2 linked regions of the Macaca fascicularis genome follow. The main gene of each other region encodes a partner of the protein of the gene in region 2 in a complex. Links are inferred from orthologs where the notes say so. Each region holds a gene or a part of one and is shown on either strand. Other genes may lie near its edges. The genes, in order: NPPA and NPR1.

The links.
Region 1: the proteins of NPR1 (region 2) and NPPA are in contact, whole or in part, in a crystal structure (PDB 7BRG), measured with the Rattus norvegicus proteins. The link is inferred for Macaca fascicularis from reciprocal best matches to the Homo sapiens genes NPR1 and NPPA. Residues at the interface, in NP_036745.1 of Rattus norvegicus: Asp90, Val115, Tyr116, Ala119, Pro120, Arg123, Ala139, Leu140, Gly141, Ile142, Val144, Tyr148, Tyr182, Asp184, Leu186, Gly187, Asp188, Asp189, Arg190, Phe193, Phe194, Val196, Glu197, Tyr200, Met201, Arg204, His213, Gln214, Glu215, Phe216; in NP_036744.1 of Rattus norvegicus: Arg126, Ser127, Ser128, Cys129, Phe130, Gly131, Gly132, Arg133, Ile134, Asp135, Arg136, Ile137, Gly138, Ala139, Gln140, Ser141, Gly142, Leu143, Gly144, Cys145, Asn146, Ser147, Phe148, Arg149, Tyr150.

The regions. Positions count from the first base shown.
Region 1 is NC_088375.1:222,958,598-222,962,517, reverse strand, and holds NPPA (natriuretic peptides A), read right to left. Parts: upstream 2,366-3,920; 5' UTR 2,267-2,365; coding exon 2,144-2,266; intron 2,022-2,143; coding exon 1,695-2,021; intron 870-1,694; coding exon 858-869; 3' UTR 564-857; downstream 1-563.
Region 2 is NC_088375.1:107,488,226-107,492,033, reverse strand, and holds part of NPR1 (atrial natriuretic peptide receptor 1), read left to right. Parts: intron 1-62; coding exon 63-198; intron 199-856; coding exon 857-948; intron 949-1,730; coding exon 1,731-1,866; intron 1,867-2,094; coding exon 2,095-2,179; intron 2,180-3,323; coding exon 3,324-3,444; intron 3,445-3,808. UniProt on the Homo sapiens protein: Receptor for the atrial natriuretic peptide NPPA/ANP and the brain natriuretic peptide NPPB/BNP which are potent vasoactive hormones playing a key role in cardiovascular homeostasis.

The sequences.
Region 1 (3,920 bases), about 120 Mb from region 2:
AGCTCGCTGCAGCCTCCGCCTCCCAGGCTTAAGCCATCCTCCCACCTTGGCCTCCTGAATAGCTGGAACTGCCGGTGCACATCACCACGCCTGGCTAATTTTTCAATTTTTTGTAGAGATGAGGTCTTTATTGCTCAGGCTGGCCTTGAACTCCTGGGCTCAAGTGATTTGCCCACCTTGGCCTCCCAAAATGCTGGGATTACAGGAGTGAGCCACTACACCCAGCCTACTCAGCTTTTAAGCTCAACACTCTGCCTACTCTTTTCAAAACTAAAAGTGCCATTAACTTAGCTGTAGCACCTAACTCTCTCGAAATGTATCAGAGGAAATCTAATTAATACTCTCATTTTCTGAATGTTCCCCCCAAAAACAACAAAAACCCCCGTAACCAAAAAGCACTAAGTGGAATTTGAGGCCTCCCCAACCACCCACCAAAAAAGGAGGGTGAAATGAAAGGAATAAGAAAACCTCAGCATTCTGTTCTCTGACAAAGAGTAAAATGACAAGGAATATCGATCGGCCTGAATTCTCTTCCCCAAGAAGAAATCACACCAACGCAGGCATTTGTCTTCTGTCCATGGTGCTGAAGTTTATTCACTTTCAAACCACTTTCAGTAACAGGTGAGGTTCTACCTTAAAATTTAATGCATGGGGTGGGAGAGGCAAGGAAGCCACCATCACACCACTTTATCTACAGTTAGTGTAAGATGTGAGAAGTGTTGACAGGAAGCTGCAGCTTGGATGGGATGATCACAACTCCATGACAACGAGATGACACGAATGCAGGAGAGACCCCAGCGGGCAGGAACCTCTTGCCGTCTGTCCCAAGGCCCAGCCCTCCTTGTGCTCCCTGGCTGTTATCTTCGGTACTACAAAGAGAACACAGACATATCTGGCTTGGTGACCTGGCTGTCTTGGAAAAGTCAGCTTCATGTGTGAGTGTGCCCATCCTCTGAACTTGATTACTGACTACCTGCTTCCCACCGGCCCCCACCCCAGCCTGATGACCCTCTGAACTTCATGAATTGATAAGCAAGTTACTCATCAGAGTAAATTTCAATTTAGCCCTTCAAGATCTTGCAATTCTGGGGAGGAACATGAGCTGCTAATCAGCCATGCAAAGATAACTTGGCCCTATGACTATTTTAATTTCCCAGTGCTAGTGGCAGTTGCTGCTTCTTTTTTTTTTTTTTTTTTTTTCTTTGAGACAGAGTCTCACTCTATCACCTAGGCTGGAGTGCAGTGGGGCAATCTTGGCTCACTGCAACCTCTGCCTCCTGGGTTCAAGTGATTCTCCTGCCTCAGCCTCCCGAGTAGCTAGGACTATAGGCACCCAGCACCACCGTGCCCAGCTAATTTTTGTATTTTTAGTAGAGACGGGGTTTCACCATGTTGGCCAGGATAGTCTCGATCTCTTGACTTCATGATCCGCCTGCCTTGGCCTCCCAAAGTGCTGGGATTATAGGCGTGAGCCACCGTGCCCGGCCTTTTTTTTTTTTTTTTTTTTTTTTAAGCATTTTCTCAGCAGACTGTAGCTAAGGACAATAGATGGCGTGTCCTGACACCCATGGGGCACTCACAGTGTTGGGGCAGAAACTTGAGAGAGAATGAGCTTCTGCATTGGTCTCTTTCCTGCTGAGGGTGTCTCCCAGTAGTGTCCATCCCATCCCATTTCCATCCCCAGTTCCTCTTACCCGGAAGCTGTTACAGCCCAGTCCGCTCTGGGCTCCAATCCTGTCCATCCTGCCCCCGAAGCAACTGGATCTCCGCAGGCTCCGAGGGGCAGTGAGCAGCGCCCTCAGCTTGCTTTTTAAGAGGGCAGATCGATCGGAGGAGTCCCAGGGGCCCTGCCCGAGGGCACCCCCATCTCTCTGGGCTGGGCTGACATCCCCGGTCCAGGGAGGCACCTCAGGGAGGGGGCTGAGAGCAGCCCCCGCTTCTTCATTCTGCTCTCTGAGCACTTGTGGGGGCACGACCTCATCTTCTAAAGGCATCTTTTCTTCCAAATTGTCCAGCAAATTCTTTACAAAAGGAAAATACAGGGAAAGGGATAAACCTCATTGACTTGGAGAAAATCAAGAGGCGTGAGCACAGCATCAGAAAGCCCCGTGGCCCCAGACTGCACCCGCTTTCCTGGCCCTACCTTGAAATCCATCAGGTCTGCGTTGGACACGGCATTGTACATGGGATTAGCTCTGGTCTGACCTGGGAGCTGGAATGCCAGAAAAAGGAGGAAGCTCACACTGATGGTGGAGAAGGAGCTCATGCTGGCGTAGTCAAGGAGCAATCCACTGCTTGCTGCTCTGTCTCTCCCCTCTGGTTCCTCTCTGGTTCCCCTCTCTTGGCCTACGTCCGTCCCTGTCTCCCAGCTGCCCAGTGCCTCCTCTTTTTATAGCCCCCCAGCTCTCCAAGCACGCAGGAGAGACAGAACCCTCCCCATTCTGTCACTTGCAGCGATAAAGCAGCAAGTGAGAAGCCAGCAGGAGATGCCCTTTTAAAGTTATCATCCCGCAGGGCTTGTCACAGCCCTTCTGCCTTGGGCAGCCCCAACAGCCCCCCAGACCCTCGGCTGCAAGAGCCGCATTCTTGCTGATTTGACTCAAGAGGCTTCCACTTCAAAGGTGTGAGAAGAGTAAAAAAGAGTCCTTGGTTATCTCACCACCATGCCTCAGGATTCTTTCTCCTCGATGCTGGTACCCATGCGGGGAGACAGAGGGTGACGCTTGGCTGCTGCCCAGCTCCCCTGGTTTGTTTGTGGCTCAGCTGTCAGGGCCTCCAAATAAGGGTGGAGAGGAGGAAATGGCAGGCAGCCAGCAGCCCGAGACAAATGGGTCCATATGCTCAAGCTGGCCTCACACCTGCCTCATCCGCCACGTGGGCAGACCTCTGGCCTCAGACAGGGCTGCCCTCACCCCTGGCAGTCCCTCTCCATGGTCAGACAAAAGGGAGTTATTTTTTAGTGTATAAAGTCAGCCAGGAACCAAATGTGATGAAGCTCCAAGCCCCGAATAGAAATACCAAGAAAAGCCGGGGAAGCACAAGCATCTCTCCAAAGCTCCTCCTCTTCCACGTCCCCCGCGACCCTCCTCCAACATGCTGTGGGGACAGGCTTAGAGGACGCAGCGAATTTCGTTTCTTCCTTTGCTGTTTATACATGCTCAGACTCTTCGTGTTTGAAGTTTGTAACAGCCCCCTGCCCTTCCTGGGCTTGTGCCCATAGCAACTTAGCCAATGAAGGGAGGGAGGTGGGGGTGAAGGAGGTATAGTCGGTTTCCTTCAATGCCGTCTACATCCTTCCCTGAGGACGTGGCAAGGGGCAAGTGACTGAGCCACCAAGGTCACAATTTCTCTGGCCCCCAAAAGAGAAATAACAGGCAACGAGCCTGTCTATGTTTAACGAATGGCCTGTTTGCTAAGCACCGAACTCAGTGTTAGCCATTACCATTCAATGCAACGTATACTGGGGGAAAACACTAAATTTGAAGGACTGACAGACTGGCACTCTAGCCCCAAACCAACCAGTTGCATACATCTTCGCAGCCTTATTTTCCTTGTGTGTAAAATGAGAAAGACTGTGCTGAGAACTTTATGGAAATGATTTTATTTTGATCATCATCCCCAGCTGGTGGTAGACCGCATTGTCCTTGCTTACAAGGGAACAGAACTGAGCCTGAGGGGCTATGCCACTTGCCCAAGGCCACTAGGTGCCTAAGTGGCAGAACCAGGACTGGAACCCCAGGTCTGACACTGATGTCCGCATCCTAGCCTATTTCACGTAGGGTGCTGCCTCTTTACCCCTTAGCTGCATTCCCCTATTAAAACTACCATTCCCCATCTTTCAGATGCCCCAGGGAGCTCCTTCACCTTCCCCATGCCCCTGGGGCTGTAGCTTTTTTGTGCACTTACCAAGGCTGTGTGTG
Region 2 (3,808 bases):
ACAGCTCCCACCTCCATACCCTTCATACGCCCACCCCAGCCAACCTCTGTTTGCCCCTACAGGTGAACACCATCCCAGCATCCTTCCACGATGGGCTCCTGCTCTATATCCAGGCAGTGACGGAGACTCTGGCACATGGGGGAACTGTTACTGATGGGGAGAACATCACTCAGCGGATGTGGAACCGAAGCTTTCAAGGTCAGGGCCTGGAGGTGGTTGGAATGGGCTGCCTTGGGGGATGAATCCCAGGTGCCCAGTGTAAAGCCATGAGAAGCCTATTGCCCTGCAGCACAGTTACCTATGCACACCAGCCTTTTCCTCCACAGCTTTTATTCAGGCCCATCCCTCAGAAGTCCTACTAAGTGTCCAATCTCAATCATCCCTGCTGGGCACTGAATTCTTTTACTTTTTTTTTTTTTTTTTGAGATGGAGTCTTACTCTGTCCCCAAGACTGGAGGGCAGTGGTGCGATCTCAGCTCGCTTCAACCTCCACCTCCCAGGTTCAAGCGATTCTCCTGCCTCAGCCTCTTGAGTAGCTGGGATTACAGGTGCCCTCCACCAATGCCTGTCTAATTTTTTTTTTCTTTTTTCTTTTTTTAGTAGAGACAGGGTTTCACCACGTTGGTCAGGCTGGTCTTGAGCTCCTGACCTCAGGTGATCTGCCCACCTCAGCCTCCCAAAGTGCTGGGATTACAAGTGTGAGCCACAGTGCCCAGCCCTTTTACCATTTACTATCATTCTGTATACATATATGTTTGGAAGGCAAGACAAAAAAGATTAGAGGATGAAGAGATGAAGTGGGGCACCCCTGAACTTCCATTCTCTCAAACATAATCGTCTTCCCCCATGTCCTCAGGTGTGACAGGATACCTAAAAATTGATAGCAGTGGCGATCGGGAAACAGACTTCTCCCTCTGGGATATGGATCCCGAGACTGGTGCCTTCAGGGTAAGTTTGTGCACCCAGAAGACAGTGCCAATTCCAAATGACATCTCACCCTCCCACTTCCCTCCCCACAGCCCTGCCAGGGCACCTGTTTATCCTGTAGCCATTCTACCGTGCCTGGACACTTACGAGAGCCCTGGATAAAACAGACCCAGCTCCAGTCTGGGGAAGCCACCAGAATGATAGGGACCCACAGGCATCACACTTGGGGAGCCCCATGCCTGAGGAAGGAGCACAACCCTGCCCTCGGGGAGCCCCGAAAGGAGGCAGCAGGACCACCTCCCAGCAGAGACAGGGTGGTGAAGGACGCACATTACATAACTCTGCAATTGAGTGGAGACAGGAAGGTGCTGAGGCCAATGGTGGCAAGGGACAGGTCATCCAGAGAAGGCCTCCTGGAAGAGGGGCACATGGACTGGGCCTGGGAATGTAGGCTGAGGTGGACACTACCTTCTGTTTTCTACCAAGAAAATAGGTAGAGAAAAATCAGTGCTTGGTTGGTGCTTCAACCAAGATTATAAACCCCCTGAGTGTAGACATCGGGTTCTAAATGGAGTTTTCTTTATAAATCCCTTGATAGTTTTCAGGTGTTTCCACTTGAATAATATGTGTGTGGTATGAGGTCCTGTATCCAGTTGCAGCAGGGGCTTGGTAAGCAGGTGACAACCCAGATACATATAGGCTCTGGAAGCAGAGCTGGGGTAGGTGGGAGGTGAGACTGCTGCACTGCACAGCAGGCCTTCCCCACAGGCCCTGGCCTAGCCACCACTCCTGCTCTCCCTTAGGTTGTACTGAACTACAATGGGACTTCCCAAGAGCTGGTGGCTGTGTCAGGGCGCAAACTGAACTGGCCTCTGGGGTACCCTCCTCCTGACATCCCCAAATGTGGCTTTGACAACGAAGACCCAGCATGCAACCAAGGTGACTGCCCCTTGCCTTCCAGGCCTCCATCCTGGAGATACTGCATCCTTCCCCTAAGCACAGTTGAGTAGGTGCTCCTGTCCCACGCTGAGGGCTTCCTGGAGAATGATTCCTGCCTTTTTCTCCCCTTCATCCATCATCCCAGTTCACTGATGGACTATTAGAAAGTTCTTCCTCCTGCTGTCTAACCCAAATCTCTCTTGCTGCAATATGGACTCTCTCCTGCAGATCACCTTTCTACCCTGGAGGTGCTGGCTTTGGTGGGCAGCCTCTCCCTGCTCAGCATTCTGATTGTCTCCTTCTTCATATACAGGTGAGCTGTGATGTGGGGGGCTGAGTGAGGCTGGAGGACCCGGAGAACCAATAGCAGAGGAGGTGGTGGGGACCCAGAGGGAAGGGGGCAGGGGTGAACGGACAGCAGGGGAAAACTAAGGGAGATGAGAAAGAAAGGAGGCTTAAAAGCCAGAGGAGAGAGAAAGAGAAGGGAATGGCAGGCGAGGGGAGGAGACAAGGATAGGAATGGCCAAGGAGAGTCAGAGAGATCCAAGAAGCAGAGAAGTTGATGCGTGACATCATAGGGGTGTAGACTGGTTTCCCTTGCTACTCTTGCAGGCCAGATGGGAAGCAATGTTCTGAACCTTGGGATCATGCCCATGTTAGTTGAGAAGGGTGGTGAGCCCTGGTGTGTGCCAGGTGCCCAACCTAGAGTGGAGAGGGGAGCTAAATGAGCCCTGTTCCTGCCGTTCAGTGGAGGCTAAAATGAAGTACAGGAGGAGTTAATGATATACGAAAGCAAAGAAGGAGGGGAGAAAATCACTGCTGGTTGAACATAAAATATATGCCAAGCACTTCCACGTATACTATTTCTTTTTTCTTTTTCTTTTTCTTTTTTTTTTTTTTTGAGATGGAGTCTCGCTCTGTCGCCAGACTGGAGTGCAGTGGCATGATCTCGACTCACTGCAACCTCCGCCTCCCAGGTTCAAGCGATTCTCCTGCCTCAGCCTCCCATGTAGCTGGGACTGCAGGTGCATGCCACCACGCTCAGCTAATTTTTGTATTTTTAGTAGAGACAGAGTTTCACCATGTTGGCCAGGATAGTTTCGATCTCTTGACCTCATGATCTGCCCGCCTCGGCCTCCCAAAGTGTTGGGATTACAGGCATGAGCCACCGCACCTGGCCTCACACACACTTTCTTTTCATTCTTATAATAGTTAAGAATGAAATAGATATTGAGGCCTCATTCCCAAATAAGGACATTGAGGTGATTCCCCCAAGGTCCCCAGTGAGGCAGAATTTCCCCCAGCCATCCTGATTCTCGGTCCAGAGTACATAATTCCCCCTCCATCTCTGACCACGCATCATGGTGTGGTCCCACGGCTCTGAGGAGGGGCTGCTGAGCACCCTGCCCTGGGTCAGGGGCTCAGCCACGGGCTCAGATACAACCTTCGTACCCCAGGAAGATGCAGCTGGAGAAGGAACTGGCCTCGGAGCTGTGGCGGGTGCGCTGGGAGGACGTTGAGCCCAGTAGCCTTGAGAGGCACCTGCGGAGTGCAGGCAGCCGGCTGACCCTGAGCGGGGTAAGAACGCTAGTGTTTGTGTTGGGGGGCAATAAAGGACAGCTAGGTACAAGGGGCAGTGCCTGAGGGGTAGGGAAGGGAGCAGGATTCTAGTCCCAGCTCTGCTTTCACTTGCTGTGTGACCTTGAGCGACTCATAGTCCCTCTCCGAGACTGTTTCAGATGATGATTACAGCTGCAGAGCCTCCCTCACAGGGCTCTTTTAAAGATCAGAGGAGACAGTACCTGTGAAAACACATTTAAAAAAAAAAAAAAAGCGGCCGGGCGCGGTGGCTCAAGCCTGTAATCCCAGCACTTTGGGAGGCCGAGACGGGCGGATCACAAGGTCAGGAGATCAAGACCATCCTGGCTAACATGGTGAAACC